2 linked regions of the Rattus norvegicus genome follow. Each later gene encodes a partner of the first gene's protein in a complex. Links are inferred from orthologs where the notes say so. Each region holds a gene or a part of one and is shown in the gene's direction. Other genes may lie near its edges.

Region 1 (11,079 bases):
GTAAGTCCTCACTGGTTAGACCAGACTGTATGCAGTTAAGGATAACCTTGAACTCCCGGTCTTCCTGTCTCTGTCTCCTGAGTCCTACTGAATCACTGTTGTTTATGAGATGGTCTCACAGTGTAATCTTGGCTGGCTTGGAATTCCTTGTGTAGACCAGGCTGACCTGGAACTCATAGAGATCCACCTGCCTCTGCTTCCCTCCCTTAATGCTGGGATTAAAGGCATATGCCCCCATGCCGGGCCTTAGGTGTGTGTTTGAATAGATGGATCCTGTTTCTCTTTGTGTCTTGGCTACCAGGACTCTTAGAGACATTTTTCATGGACTACTTCCTTCACTCAGAACACCAGGATATATTCTGTGGATACAATTCAATTATAGATTCCCATTCCCTCATTTGTTTGTCTATCTACCTACCTATCTACAATTTATCTATCTATTTATCTATCTATCTATCTCTTTTCCTTTGTTTTTCAATAATGGGTTTGTGTTAACATGGCTATCTTGGAACTCATTATGTAGACCATGCTAGCCTTGAACTCAGAGATCCACCTGTCTCTTCCAAAGTCTGGCATTAAAAGTTGTGTTCCAGCATAACCAGCTACCTATATCTTAATCAAATGTCTTAAATTTGAGAGGGTTTGGGGATCAAACTACTCTGACAAAATGTCCATCTATATCGATTACACGGCACAGATCTACTGAGCGTGAACCGGATGTGGCTCTGCGGAGGACTAGTAGGCAGCCTAATAGTAGTAATGAGACAGCATGCATCTGAGGAAAGCTTGGTCTGGGGAAGCCCAAGTGAGTGGCAGCAGTGTGGGCGGGTCATCTCTGCTGTCCTCCAGGCAGCACTCCAGGAGTGATGTCTTAGTTCTTTGGTCTTTTAAACATTTTTCTTTACATCTGGGGAGTGGGGCATGCATGTGCCACCGCTCCTATGTGGAGGTCAGAGTGAGCTCTCTTCTTCCAGCTAGGTCCTAGGGGTTGATTCAGGTTGTCCTTTACCTGCTGAACCATCTCCCTGGCGGTGTTTCTCTAGTCTTCCTAAGAATCCTATAAAGCTGGGCGGCGGTGTGCATGCGTTTAGTCCCAGCACTTGGGAGGCAGAGGAAAGTCACTATGAGTCGGAGGCCAGCCTGGTCTACAGAGCAAGTCACTAAGAAGATATTGTTTCTATTTTCTTTTTGTTCGTTTGTTTTTAAGACAGGGTCTGCCTCCAGAGCAATGGATTAAAGGCCTCCGCCACCACCACCCCTCCCTGCCCCCGTGTTTCTGTTTCTGAGTTCTGGGTTTGTTTGTTTTTTGTTTTTTTTTCTTCTTCTTTCTTTATTCCTTATTTAGTTATTCATGCATTCCTTCTTCTGGAAGTAAATGTAAAGACAGTTTATTGAGAAAGGGAAAGTACTCTTTTCTTTTTTTTTTTTTTTTTTTTCCTTTTGTTCGGAGCTGGGGACCGAACCCAGGGCCTTGCATTTGTAGGCAAGTGCTCTACCACTGAGCTAAATCCCCAACCCGGGAAAGTAATCTTGAGAATGGGAGTGAGCTAGTGAACTGCTTGGTGGGGGGCACTAGCTCTTAAAGTGCAGGGGCCCGCCCCTAATTTACATATCATTTACATAGTGCCTGTTTCTACCACTTTCGTTTTTTTTTCTTTTTTTCCATCTTTGTTACCTTGGGTATTTCTTATTTACATTTTGATTGTTATTCCCTTTCCCGGGCCAACATCCCCCTAACCCCTCCCCCTCTCTTTCTCTATGGGTGTTCCCCTCCCCATCCTCGCCCCCCCCCAGTTCTGTTTTACTTAGTCTTGGGGTATCTCACTTATTTGCCCTCAGGACATTAAAGCAGCTATGTGATGCCCTAGTCACTTTTTTACAGTTTAGACTCCAGATTGGGAGGAAAAAAAATCCATGCTTTCAACCATTCCAAATGAAGCTGATTACTTGAGACTATTAAATTTGCCTGCCTGCCTTCCTTCCTTCCTTTTCCTTATTTCCCTCCTTCCTTCCTTCCTTTCTTTCTTTTTTCTTTCTTTCTTTCTTTCTTTCTTTCTTCCTTTTCTCTTTTTTTATTGGATATTTTAATTTACATTTCAAATGTTATTCCCTTTCCAAATGTCCCGTCCATAGGCCCCCATCCCTTCCCCCTTCTTCTATAAGGGTGTTCCCCCTCCCCAACCATCCTTCCTTCCTACCTCCCCACCCTGACCTCTCCTACACTGGGGTCCACCCTTGGCAGGACCAAGGGCTTCTCCTCCCATTGGTGCCCAACAAGGCCATCCTCTGCTACATATGCAGCTGGAGCCATGGGTCTGTCCATGTGTACTCTTTGGATGGTGGTTTAGTCCCTGTGAGCTCTGGTTGGTTGGCGTTGTTGTTCTTATGGGGTTGCAAACCCCTTCAGCTCCTTCAATCCTTTCTCTACCTGCTCCAATGGGACTTCCTTTGCTATTAAGATGCTATGTCGCCCATGCTGGCCTTGAACCCATCATTCTCCTGCCTGTCCCTTCCTGCAGGGATTATAAGCACGGGCCAACATGGCTGGCTTCTCATTCTTTTTTTTTTTTTTTTTTTTTTTTTATTAACTTGAGTATTTCTTATATACATTTCGAGTGTTATTCCCTTTCCCGGTATCCGGGCAAACATCCCCCCTGGCTTCTCATTCTTACAACCAAACCTGTCCATTTTCTGTGACTCTAACTCTGACAGGCTAGGCCTCAGCCACATGTCCAGCATGGAGTGGAGGAGCCGCGTTTCTGGGTTTCCTAGAAGAAACTAGAGGACCGTTCCCTGGGTAAGGGCTCCTAGGCTATTTGGACACTGGTACCCATGATGGGGGTCAGGGTCGGGGAATGCTTTGTGGGCAGGGAGAGCATAGAGAATACCCCCAGGGGAAGTAATGGGGAGGAACAGGGCACCCTTTTCTGTCTGAGAGTGGGCTCCTCTCAGCCAGTGACTGAGAAACAAACATGAATTTAAGCTCCGTTCCTGGTGGGGGGATTGACCCCACAAGCATAGTCCTTAATTCTGGTGGTATCCAGCATCCATGAGACACAATGTAAAGCACACAGTAGGTTGAAGTGGAAACTTCCGGTTTCTTTGGAAAGTCGGTGATCTCAGGTGATGTTTTGCTGGGGCACACAGGCAAAAGGATGCTCTGCTAAAGCGGACACGTGAAAGGACGTGTGGTGTTTAGAAAGATTTTAAATATGACCCCACAGACAGTGGGAGCCCCAGCGTTGATTGGTTCCATTCACTCCACCTCACTCACTAGTCTTCGCTGTCGACCTCCATGTATTGGTTGGCATTACATTGTGTACTCACTCCGGCCAGTTGGCGAGACTCAAGGTTTCTTCTGATTCCCGTGCGGTGTCTGCTGAGAAGACTGGGCTGCTGGTGTTGATTCGTGTTTGGTGTTTGCTTGTGGATTGAACTAAGGAGATTAGAAGATTCCCAAAGAACTGTCTCTAAACAGGTCCACTTCCCTAGTATCCTAATAACCTTTCTTTTCTACTACCCCTGGAGGGTGGCGGGCTCGAGGGGAGGTTGAACCCTTATTAAAGCAGGTTGAGAAAAATTTATGCCTACACTAGGTGCTCAATAAATACGGATTCTAGCCCCTCCCCCAGCGACTTGAGGCCAGTCTTCGCCAGGACCTTGAAGAACCATGAGTTCTTTTGGTGGATTTGGTGCTCCCTGAGAACTTGTGTCAGCACACCAAAACCTCAAAGGGATGCCTCAGTATCAAGAGGGAGCAGCAGCTTCCTCAGGCCACTCAGGTAGGAAGAGGCACACGGCTGTGCTATGCGGTTGGATGAAATGAACTTGGGAATTGTTCCCCCATGGGAGGCAACCACTGGGAGTGTGTGACCCTGCCCTTATGAGTGTGAGGAGACCCTGGGGCAGTGTGTGAACCTGCCCTTTGATTTTGATTTTGATTTTGTTGGTTTTTATTTTTGGTTTGTTTCTCTGCATAACTCTGGTTGCCCTGGAACTCGCTGGCCTCAAACTCTGAGATCTATGGGCATCTGCTTCCCAAATCCCGGGATCGAAGGCGCCACTTCCCCAGCTCACCTTTGTTTCTGAGAGATAACATCTCGCTGTGTCTGGTCTAAAACTTGTTCTATAGACCAGCTGGTCCTGGAACTCATAGGGATCCACTTGCCTCAGTCTTCTGAGGGCTGGGATTAAGGGCATGTGCCACTATGCCCTGCATTGACCCTGACCTTTGATGTCCTGCTTGGAGGGGACAGATATGGGGCTGAAAAGGCTTCAGGGTGCCCTTTCACACCAGCCTCAGGCCTTGGCTTGAAGGCTCAGTGCTTGATAACTGTCAAGTCTCCTCACCCCAACAGATCTCCCCACCCCACTTTCTCCACAGGTCCCCTCTCCAGAAGATGAACCAGGAGAGGAGAGATGGCCCTGACATGTCCCCTGACTGTCACCATCTCCAGTTTGCAGCAGAACCCTGGGCTGGACATCTGCCCCTTCTCTGGCAGTGGGACTGCCTACTCCTCTAGTACCTCAGCCCTAGGGCCTTGCCCGCCCTAGCTGCAGCCAGTGCCTTCTGAGGAGGTGTGGTCTCTGTATGGTTAATGATTGCTCCGGGGAGGTGGAGATGGTGCCAAAGTCTGCAGCTGTGTTCTGCCGGGCCCAGACAGTGCTCACCTGTGACTGGGTGCACATCACCACCTCTGGGCCCCTTCCAGGGGTTGTCCAGCTCAGCTGCTTCGGGGGCTCTTAGCCCAGGGGTAAGCCGGGGTCCTTGGGATTGAGGCAAACTTTGAGGTCTTTCCGACTTGGCATCTGGAGCGTGGCGGGGACACCAGGGGGAAGAGCTAGCTGTGTCATTAGCCACTGGGATGGGCAGAGCCAGGCTTGAGTTGGTGAGGCCACCAGTGAAGCCTGTTTCTTCTGGAATGCAGGGCTAAGACCTCCTTCCTCTCCAGGCAGTGACCACCTCCTGCTGTCCCTGGGGTATTTCTAGCCTGAGGAGAAGGGTTCCCCTAGGAAACTAATCGACAACCTCATCTGTTATCTGAAAGGGGAAGATGAGGAAGATGGCTGAATCTGGCCATGGGCCCGAGGGGGAAAGGCTGGCTCCACTCCGCCTGGCTCAGATCTTCATTCAGCTCCTTGCAGACTCTGAGTGAGCTGCTGACTGCTTTTGGTCCTTGGTCTCTGCATCGGTGGGGTGGCATGATACTAGTAACCTGGGGAGGGCTTGTGAAGTAGACATGGCAGGGGTTGGAGGCTGTCCCTCACAGACTCAGAGATCAAATGCTAGGTCACCTCAGGGAGGACTAACTATGCTGGTCCCAACCCTAACTTAATCCTCATCCTGGTCACAGGGTAAAGACTCAGCTGGGCCAGCTCGTCTTTAGACAGGACTTACTTGCTGGTTGCTCCCAGGCAGCATTTCAGAGCATAATGCCGATCTCCTGATCGGCACAGGACGTAGCCTGCCCTCACCTTACTCCTCAGAGGAAAACTGTAGCTGAGGGTAGGGCAGGCTTGTATGTGAAATGCTGAAATCCAAACCTGGGGCCTGATCCATATCTGTCCCCTCAGAAGAAGCAGCCAAGAGGGCGGGCACCATCTCTGGCTATAAGAAGCCTAGTATACCTGGGGCATGGACACTTAAAGGTCCCTGGGTCCCTATCTTTGCAGCTGCATCACTTGGCTGGGCTGGTGGGATCAGAAGAGACCCCTGTAGGGTCAGCAGAGTGGTACCTGGGTCCAGCCTTGCCCGCTGCTGGTGTTTAACCCTTTGTGGTTGGCCGTCCGAAAAGGTTGATGAACAGTAACGGTAGGATAGCTGCTCCCAGAGATCAGCTGTGCGAAGGAGTAAAAGAAAGCAGAAGTGAAAGGAAGGGCTCAGGGAACTTCTGAGGCTGCGGCAGGGCGGGGTGGCTGTGGGGTGAGGAAGCCTGTAGCTGGGTCATTAGTGGAGGAGGGCTCCCTTCCTCTGTGGCCTTCCAAGAGGTCTGGGATCCTCACATCCAGTGGACTGAACTGTAGAGCCTTTGGTTTCCTGGAGTCTTGTGAGCTGCGGCCAGCGTGTCCTCTGAGATAAGAGGGAGGAGCCCCCTTGCTGTGGATGGCCTGGGTCTGGGAGCCTGGGGGTCCATCGAGTGATCTGGAGCCCCTGGTGTTCCCGACTTTTCCTCAGACACGTTATAGCATGAGTAGCTGAGTATTTTTGCTTTTAGGGGACACTAAATAATTGAACACACTGATGGAACACACCAGAACATCTCCTCATTCCATGGCTTGCCCGGCACAGCTAGCCTGCTTCAGTAGAGAGCCTCCTGCCCAGCCTCAAATAAGGCGGCAGGAGCTTGGGAGCAAGCACCTTGGATTTCTAGGGTCTAGATCTGTTCTTTCTTCCTCTCCTCTTCTTCATCTTCCCCATCTTCTTCTTCCTCCCTCCCTGCTTCTCTCTCCTTTTACAGGTCTCTCCATACAGCTGAGGCTAGTCTAGAACTAGAGAGCCTCCTCTCTCCTGAGTAATAGGATACTGGTGGCACTCCAGGCCCAGCTTCCGATCTCTTAAAGATACAAACTATATCAGGCGCAAAGTGGACGGGGGCTGGCATCAGTGGTGTCTCACGTGAGCCTACGTTTGACTTTTGGTCCCTCCGAGGAGGAAAGGGCACCTGGGGGAAGTTTCCCCAGCTCCAGTACCTGGGCACATCCCCTCTCTTCTCCTGTATGTCCTGTAGCATATGACCCCTGACTGGAGCTCAGAGACTCTAGCTGTGACCTGAGCCTTGAAGGACAGAGAGAATTTGCACAAGGGCAAGGGACACAAGAGGGCCTTTGGCGCAGAAGAGACACATGCAAATCAAGGGGAAAGATGATGCAGTGTGTGTGTGTGTGTGTGTGTGTGTGTGTGTGTGTGTGTGTGGGTGCGGACTGTGGACAGGATACGGCAAGAGGGAAAGGGAACCACTCTTGGAAGGTGAGACCCAGGTCCCCTAAGGATTTGGCTTGCCAAAGGTGGGAAGTGTGTCCAACAGCTGGTCTGAGCCTTTGCACAGGTCAGGTCTTGGGAGTGCCTGTGCCATCGAGGTGAGGCAGGTCACCAGGTGCTTCCAATCTCACAACACATTTTTCTTAAGTGATGGAGTCTGGGAGATGCTGCTGTCAAGTGCAGAACTTTGGCCTTATTATTGTTAGTGAGTATGCTTGTGAAAAGTCACTGTGACAAAGGGGACAAGGCTGAGAAACTTAGGGTCAACTCATCCAGTATAGGAAGGAGAATCCAAAGGAGTTCTAGGAGTGAGTCAGACATGACTCTGTGACTGCTGGACAGGAAACCTAGCTTCCTGGAGACTTGAGAATCCCCATAGGCAAAACAGAGTATCTAAGCCATCTCTCCAGGAGTGACTCAACAGGGATGGCGCGTGAGCTTTCAGGTGTGGGGCACTATCACCTGAGTTACACCATGAGGACAGGAGGGAAAGTAGGAGGAAACAGAGAAGGGGGCTTGAGTGGAGCCTGCAAGGGGCCATGGGGAACAAAGGTCCCAGTTTGGTTTCTTTGTCCTCAGCTGCACCTTTCTAGGGGTTCTGAGTAACCTGGGAGAGAGAAATGTGTATATGAGTGTGTGTGTGTGTGTGTGTGTGTGTGTGTGTGTGTCTGTGTGTGTATGTGTGTGTCAGTGTGTGTCAGTATGTGCATGTGAGTGTGTGTGTGTATGTGTGTGTCAGTGTGTGCATGTGAGTGTGTGTGTGTGTGTTTGTGTATGGATGTGTGAGCAAGTATGTGAGCCTGTGTGTGTGTGTATGTGTGTGTGTGTATGTGTTTTGTGTGTGTTTGTGTGTGTATGTGGTATGTGTGTGTATGTCTGAGAGAGAGAGACAGAGAGAGAGAGAGAGAGAGAGAGAGAGAAAGAGAAAGAAAGGGAGAGAGGGAGGGAGAGAGAAAGAAAGGGAGAGAGGGAGGGAGAGGAAGAAGAGGGGGAGGGAGAAGAGGGGAAGGAAGAACAAGGAAGGGAAGGAGGAAGAGAGAAGGCCCTGAAAAGGGAGAACAAGGTTTGTCCATCGATGAGTATGGAACCCAGGGCCCTGAATACATCGGGCCAGTGTTCTAGCACTGACACATATCTCTAAGCCTTTAAAGGTTTACTTTCAGTTGGGTACTGGTGGTACACATCTTTAATACCATCCCTCACTCAGGAGCCAGAGGCAGGTGGCTTGGTCTCTGAGTTCAAGGTCAGGCTGGTTCATAGAGTGAGTTCCAGGACAGTCAGGACTACACAGAGAAACCCCATCTCAAAAAACATTTTTTTTTCTTGAGATACAATCTTTCCAAGTTCTCAGGCTAGCTTTGAACTCTCAGCCTTCCTCCCTCCCTTCCCAAATAGCTGGGATTACAGGCATACCCAGCTGCCTGCCTTCGGATTGGTGTCCTGCTATCGGCTGTGGTGGGTTCCTTCCAAGCTTCTTTGCTAACAACTGATAACAGGTGCAAAGGGTCAGCCCAGCACTGCCCAGCATCATTAACTCCCTCCCCGGGGTGAACTGGGTAGAGAGACTTCCTTCCTGGAGATGGGCTGAGGTGAACTTTGTGACATGACTGGATGAATTGTGCATGCATCAGCGATTGATCAGCCTGTGGCTGTTGCTTTACACCCAATAGAAGGAAGGCGATCAAAAGAAAGAGATAAAGGAGTCAGGCTCAAAGCCAGAGTCCCGAGAAGGAGACGTCAGGTGTTCATGTGACAGCCCAGCTGGCAAGGAAGCCCCAGGACCTTCTGCACACACGTGGCATATACATCAGCACTCCGCTCCCCCCCTGATTCTCACCTTGCCACCCCCACCCCCACCAGCTCCCCCTAGACCCCAGTCTCATTCACTCACCACCATCCCCACCCTGAACTCTTTCCCCAGACGCACACCTTGGCTTCATTTGTGGCAAGCCTTGCCCTCCCTGGTTGGTATCCTATGACCTCTCTCTACATTCAATCTCAGAGCATGGGGGATGGAGTCTCGGGAAAGAGCAGGCTCCATTGTGACTCCAGTGAGATCGCAGAGGCAAGGTGAGGTGTAAGCTCTTGCACAAAAGGGAGGGGTTCAAGTCCATGGAGCCCCTGAGAGCTATAGGTATATGGGTACGCAGCACACCACCCACAGAACAGGGCAGGGCAGGGCAGGGAGAGGAGAGCCCAAGCTCACTGAGAGTCGCCCCCGGACTGACTTCCACTGGCTGTCACTGGTGTTGTTCGCTCTGTTTTTCTGCTTATTTTATCACAAGTCTATCCGTTTACTCTGCCAGAGACGCAAACCTCCCATGGGATGTGGGAGCCCCTAGGCTTCAGGGTCCTCTACCTCCCTTCTGTGCCAGTATACAGTCTTGTGTCTTGGGCTTTTTCCTATACTGGCTTCCTGAGGAAAGACTCTTAAGAGCTAACAATGTAGGCTCGGTCTGTCTAAGACTGTGTGACCAATAGCTTTAGTGGTTATGGACAGAATCCGAGGCTGGAAAAACAGTTATTTTCAGCATTTTGCAGAAAGTCTCCTGGCCACTCGCTGCCTGCTGCACAGAGCATCAGATACATCCCAGAGCACGGTGGCTTGACCGGCCATCTGTTACTAATATTCCTGTAGGAGTTTAGATTAGGTATAGCAAGAGTTGCTCAGCTCTGTTCACGGTATTTGGGGCTTCAGCTAGGATTGAGTAGTGGATGGAGTGGGCATCTCACAGCTTAGCAGCCACAGGGGTTCAACGTCCCCCGCCCCAGCACCGCTGAATCTCTGTGGGAGCAGGCATGTACGGCAGTCTCTAGTGTGTACCTACTGTTTGCTGGCAGCCACCCGCACATTTTGAGACATTTCTGCTCTTGAATGTTGGCATTCGTAGAAGCCTCTTGTCCTGCTCTGGGGGTATCTGTGATTATAACAGATACACAAGTCTCTTGTGTTTTGTGTTTCTCCAGAGTTGGTCAGCTTGAGTTTAAATGTCCTGCTTAGTTTGTCCACTTCCCTACCATGGCTGCATCTCGATGACTCTGGTTGGTGGCCCCCAGGCGGTGGATAGCACCTGGAGGCCACACGACAGGGTGACCCTATGGAGAGCCTCCCTCACACATTTCAGAGTTTTCCCCTTTAGGCGGGTCATTTACATTTTTTTACATTATTATTTTGTTTGCTATGTTGGAGATGAAACCCAGCTCCTCACACAAGCTAGGCGAGGAGCTGTCACTGGGCTGGAGCTCCCCCCTCCACTTCCCCCATGTTGTCAGCTGTCTGTCTCTGGTCATTGGTGGGGGTGTCATTTCATCACCGTTAAGGGTTCAGCCTTTCACATCACTCCATCCCATGGATCTTTCTCCTCTGTGGTGTCCCCAGATTCAGCTGTGTCTGATCCAGACTCTCTGGAAGTGACCCACATTCCTTGGGGCAGAAAGAAGGTGGGACAGTGCTTGCCCATATGGCTCGGGCAATGGAGTCTAGAAGTGCAGTCGCTTCTCTCAGAAGTTTCTCTTCTTTCGGCCCACCCCATGCCGCTGCTTTCAGGGAATTATAGAACTTTCAGCCTTGGTGGGATTTAAGTCTTCTTCCTGGGGTGTATCCCCCATCACCCCTACTCTGTTTTAAGTGTCATCTGCTTGATGAGGTGGCAGACACCAAGACAACAAGTCACTAGCTTCCAGCGTTCCTACTGCCATTCTGGTGGGGTTCTAAGAGGGGGGCAGAGGAGTAGCAGCCAATGCAGGGCCACCCCACGAAGCTCTCCTGCTCCCCACAGAGGCCCCCTCACCCTTCAGATCTTCACCTGCTTGGAGATCTCCCCTTCCAGTTCTTGATATTCATGACTGTAAGACATCGCCACAGGGGTTGGGGATTTAGCTCAGTGGTAGAGCGCTTGCCTAGGAAGCGCAAGGCCCTGGGTCGGTCCCCAGCTCCGAAAAAAAGAACCAAAAAAAAAAAAAAAAAAAAAAAAAGACATCGCCACAAAGGCTACTGCCAAAGGACAATAGCAAGGCCACGCACTACTACACGCGCTTGGAAGACTGGGGGACCAAAGCTTAGGAGTATAGTGAGACATTAAACACACGCACACGTGCGC
Region 2 (4,182 bases), on another chromosome or scaffold:
TGTTCTATAAAACACTACAAGTTCAATTTGGCAATTCCTTAAAGCTAAATAGAAATTACAACAAAACCCAGAAATTCCACACCTTGCTATATGCCCAAGAGATGTAAAAATATATGTTTACACAGGAACATCTATGTGACTGTTCTTAATAACATTTTTCATCATTAACTTAATGGACACAACCTAAACATCCAACCAGTATGAGAATTAAATGATAAAGGGTATTTGATATGCTAGTATAGAAGAATATTATTCAACAATTTAAAAAATCCTTCAAAACATATTCCTTTTAAATAAAGGCCACAAAACTATGTCACAGGATTCCAGTGACATAAAGTGCTCACAATTGCAGCTATATAGAGAGAAAATTGATTCATGGTTTCCTAGGGTTGGGAGTAGGAATTAGTTGCTAACAAACACAAAGGATATCTTTTAAAAGTTCTGTTGTTACATTTATTCATTTTTCTATGTGGTATGGGAGAGTCTGAGTTGGAGTGGGTTGAGGAATGGTTTTAGTGTGGAGAAAACATTGCAAAACTGAGTTTACAAGAGGGCAATTGGCATGTGTTTGAATTTACCAGTCTGACAAAACTAGAATTTAATAAACTCATTGACAAAAAAAGACCACCTACATGAAATAGTGCTGTACATGAATGGGATCTGTTGAAGCTGTCCACAGCAATCTCCACCATGCAAATGAGGGTAGCCTTGATTGGCTGATATTTGATTTCCAGAGGATACTGGGTTCACATGGTATAGCCTGTGGTTATACTTGGTTTAGATTGGCCTTCCTTATTTATATCATTCTACACTGGAAAGTGGTGAAGCTTTCTAGACCAAACTTTTTTATTTTTTTATTTTTTTTTGTGGGAGTTCCTGGAGAACCACCTGTTTGTCTTCCAGCCTGCCATCAGCCTTCTGTCCTCCACTGTTATGGTAAAGATTTCACAGCTGTGAATTTACCCAGATCTTTGATTTTATATTTCAAATGGTTAAATTCAACTTGTACAGACTATACCTGTAAAAATCTACTAAAACACTCCTTCTCCCATACCAGTGAACTTAACCAGTTTTGAGTTTTTTGATTATTTCCCATATTCTGTACCTAGGTGGTCAGTATCACATCTGACACTTGTTAATGGGCACAGTAAAGATTAAATGTGCTTCATCACATGCATGAGAGACACCAGAGGCCTCAATGTTCATTGTTATGGTTGGTCTTAAAAGTAAAGGTCCAAGTCCAGGACTGTAGGCCTTCTGGATGCCTTCCAAGAAGCGAGGGTGAAGTGAGCTTTGGCCTGGAGTAATACTCCCTGTCACTGATTAACCAGCCCCGTTGGAAGACTTGTGTGACCAGCACTGCCTAGACAAAGACACCTGGACAAGCTCTGGTGGGCAGAAAAATGTCTACCCGCTATCACCAAGCAGCAAGTGACAGCTACCTGGAACTTCTGAAGGAGGCCACTAAGCGTGATCTAAATCTCTCAGATGAGGATGGCATGACACCCACTCTCCTGGCAGCCTACCACGGCAACCTTGAGGCCCTAGAAATAATCTGCAGTAGAGGGTGAGTGATCCCTGTTAGGGCATCCTGGGTGGGGAATGCCACTCTGGCAGTGAGAGACAGAGATGTCCACATAGACATTTTGCTTCTTTGTAGGTCCTCTAAGTAGTTGGCTTTTAGAGAAAGAAAGACTAAGCTAGGTATGGTTTCTTTCCCTGTGAAACAGCCATTTAGAAGTCACTCAGGCAGAGGTGGGTAGGGTGTGGATTGTAACTATATGCCCTGAAAATCACCTCCATTGAATTTAAATGGTTAACTCTTTAAAAGGAGGTCACCATGCTTATTGGTTCAGTGATCTTCCTTGGTTAGGACATGGCTTTATTTTACTTTTCCAATCTTGTCACTAAAATCTATCTTTACAAGTACTCAGCCTTGATGTAAACTCCTGGTTCTTCTGGCTTTGCCATCTATAACATGAGTCTTCAGTCCATCTTTACACACACACACACACACACACACACACACACACACACACCCCATCCCTTAGCTTTAGATTCCAGTCTTTGCTAACTCTTTTATTCTGCTCACCCTGCTCATTGCCAGAGAGCTAGTCAGGGTAGGCAGTTACACTTAGATGGAGAGAAATGGAGCAAAAGAGGAGTTTGGGTGAGTGAGAAGAGTGGGGGGAAGAGGGAGAGGTAAAGAGTAAGGGAGTCAAATGACTCCAGTACAGTGCATATTTAGCATCTGGTAGGTGACAGTCCACCTCTCCCCCTTCTCTCCCCTTCTTCTGCTTTCTCTTTCTTCCACTCCCTCCTCTTCTGATTTTTCTTCTCATATATTTTTGGTGCTGTCCAGATGGTCCCTATCAACAAAACATCCTGGTGCTCTTGTGGCACTCAGATCTGAGAGGGGAAGCCAAGCAAGCAGCTTATGGTAGATGTGACAAAGTCTGTTCCAGGGAAGGGAAATTAAGCTAGTAGAGAAAGACGGGGAGCTGATCAAGGCTGAGGGAAGTGCTTTCCCCCTAAGGCAGAGAGCACTGTGCATTCCAAGGGTAGAAGACGTTGAGTTTGGCTGGACATGACTTGCACAGGAACAGACCTAAGCCATAAGACTGGACTATCAGGGGCCTTGAGACTTCTGTTCAGGACTTGAATCTCCTCCTGAGAGCCTAGAAACCACACCCTCTATTTACAGAGGAAGCAGTCACATAGATTTATGCTTATGAATATCGTTCTGGCGATTGTACATTAGTCACAGAGAATGTCTAGGGACGTTCAAGGTAAAAGTGAACTAACATGGTATCACTGGGTGTGAGTAGACACGGAGCTTTGAGTGACAGTTTGGATGTCAGATAGTGATTGGATGTGGCAAGTAAAGGAGGAGGAGGGTCAACATCTGTTTGGATTAAACAGATTGTAGATATGGACACCTCATTGAGTTGGGGAACATGTCAGAAAGAGCACGCCTACTCTCTATACCAAATCTTCTGAAACTTTATTCAAGATAGGTCTTTCTTCTTTTGAGTTAATGTCTCAATTTTGTTATAGCAATTAAATACATAACACACTTAATTTAATTTATAAGGATACCTTAATATTATAATCAGCAAATTTATTTCTTAGTTTATCCCCCTGTTTGATACATAATTCTTTTTTTCTAGTTTGCAGTGTTGTGGTGATTATTCCTCCACATAAGTCCTTGTCCATATTTTTTTCCCCGAGTGTAAATTCTCAGAACTGAAGTTTTTGGGTCAGTTGCCTGCACTTGTGCTATGATCACAAAATGCCTCGGGCAAAGTAATTTACAGAGGATAAAACTTATTCTATAGTTTTAAGAGCAGCCAGGAAGTCTAAGATCAAGTTGGCAAGAAGTTCAGTGCAGGGAGAGATCTTTCCATGCTGGCTCCTTATTGCTGCCACATCTGGGGTGAGGGGGACAGGGACGGAGCCCTCACATAGTAGGAGAGAGAAGATGCACGCGAACAAAATTCTGGAAAAGCAAGTTCCTTTCTTTGACAAGGAACCCCTTTACATGGTGAAGGCGGGGTTCCTGGTGAGGATGAAAACGCCAATGCTGAGCTGCCATGCACTTTCGTCTTTGTGAGCTGCGTGTCTGTAACATTGCCCCACTTTTATATGTCTATATAAAAGTGTGTGTGTCTGTGTCTATGTGTGTGTGTATGTGTCTGTGTGTGTCTGTGTGTGTGTGTAAGTATGTCTATGTGTGTATATATGTGTATGTGTGTATGTGTAAGTATGTCTATGTGTGTGTAAGTATGCCTATGTGTGTGTGTGTGTATGTGTGTATGTATGTGTCTGTGTGTGTATGTGTGTGTGTGTAAGTATGTCTATGTGTGTGTAAGTATGCCTATGTGTGTGTGTGTGTATGTGTGTATGTGTAAGTATGTCTATGTGTGTGTGTAAGTATGTCAATGTGTGTGTGTATGTCTATGTCTGTGTGTGTGTGTCTGTGTGTGTGTGTGTGTGTATGTATGTGTCTGTGTGTGTATGTGTGTATGTGTGTGTGTCTGTGTGTGTATGTGTCTGTGTGTGTATGTGTGTGTGTGTAAGTATGTCTATGTGTGTGTAAGTATGCCTATGTGTGTGTATGTCTATGTCTATGTGTGTATATATGTGTCTGTGTGTGTATGTGTGTGTGTAAGTATGTCTATG

What was found.
Region 2: Cdhr2 (region 1) and Anks4b share a complex: the UniProt entries of both Homo sapiens proteins name them as parts of the IMAC/intermicrovillar adhesion complex. The link is inferred for Rattus norvegicus from reciprocal best matches to the Homo sapiens genes CDHR2 and ANKS4B.

Annotation. Positions count from the first base shown.
Region 1 is NC_086035.1:9,911,278-9,922,356, reverse strand, and holds the start of Cdhr2 (cadherin-related family member 2 precursor), read left to right. Parts: upstream 1-4,658; 5' UTR 4,659-4,754; intron 4,755-11,079. UniProt on the Homo sapiens protein: Intermicrovillar adhesion molecule that forms, via its extracellular domain, calcium-dependent heterophilic complexes with CDHR5 on adjacent microvilli. Thereby, controls the packing of microvilli at the apical membrane of epithelial cells.
Region 2 is NC_086019.1:183,977,420-183,981,601, forward strand, and holds the start of Anks4b (ankyrin repeat and SAM domain-containing protein 4B), read left to right. Parts: upstream 1-1,382; 5' UTR 1,383-1,403; coding exon 1,404-1,567; intron 1,568-4,182. UniProt on the Homo sapiens protein: As part of the intermicrovillar adhesion complex/IMAC plays a role in epithelial brush border differentiation, controlling microvilli organization and length. Plays a role in assembly of the complex.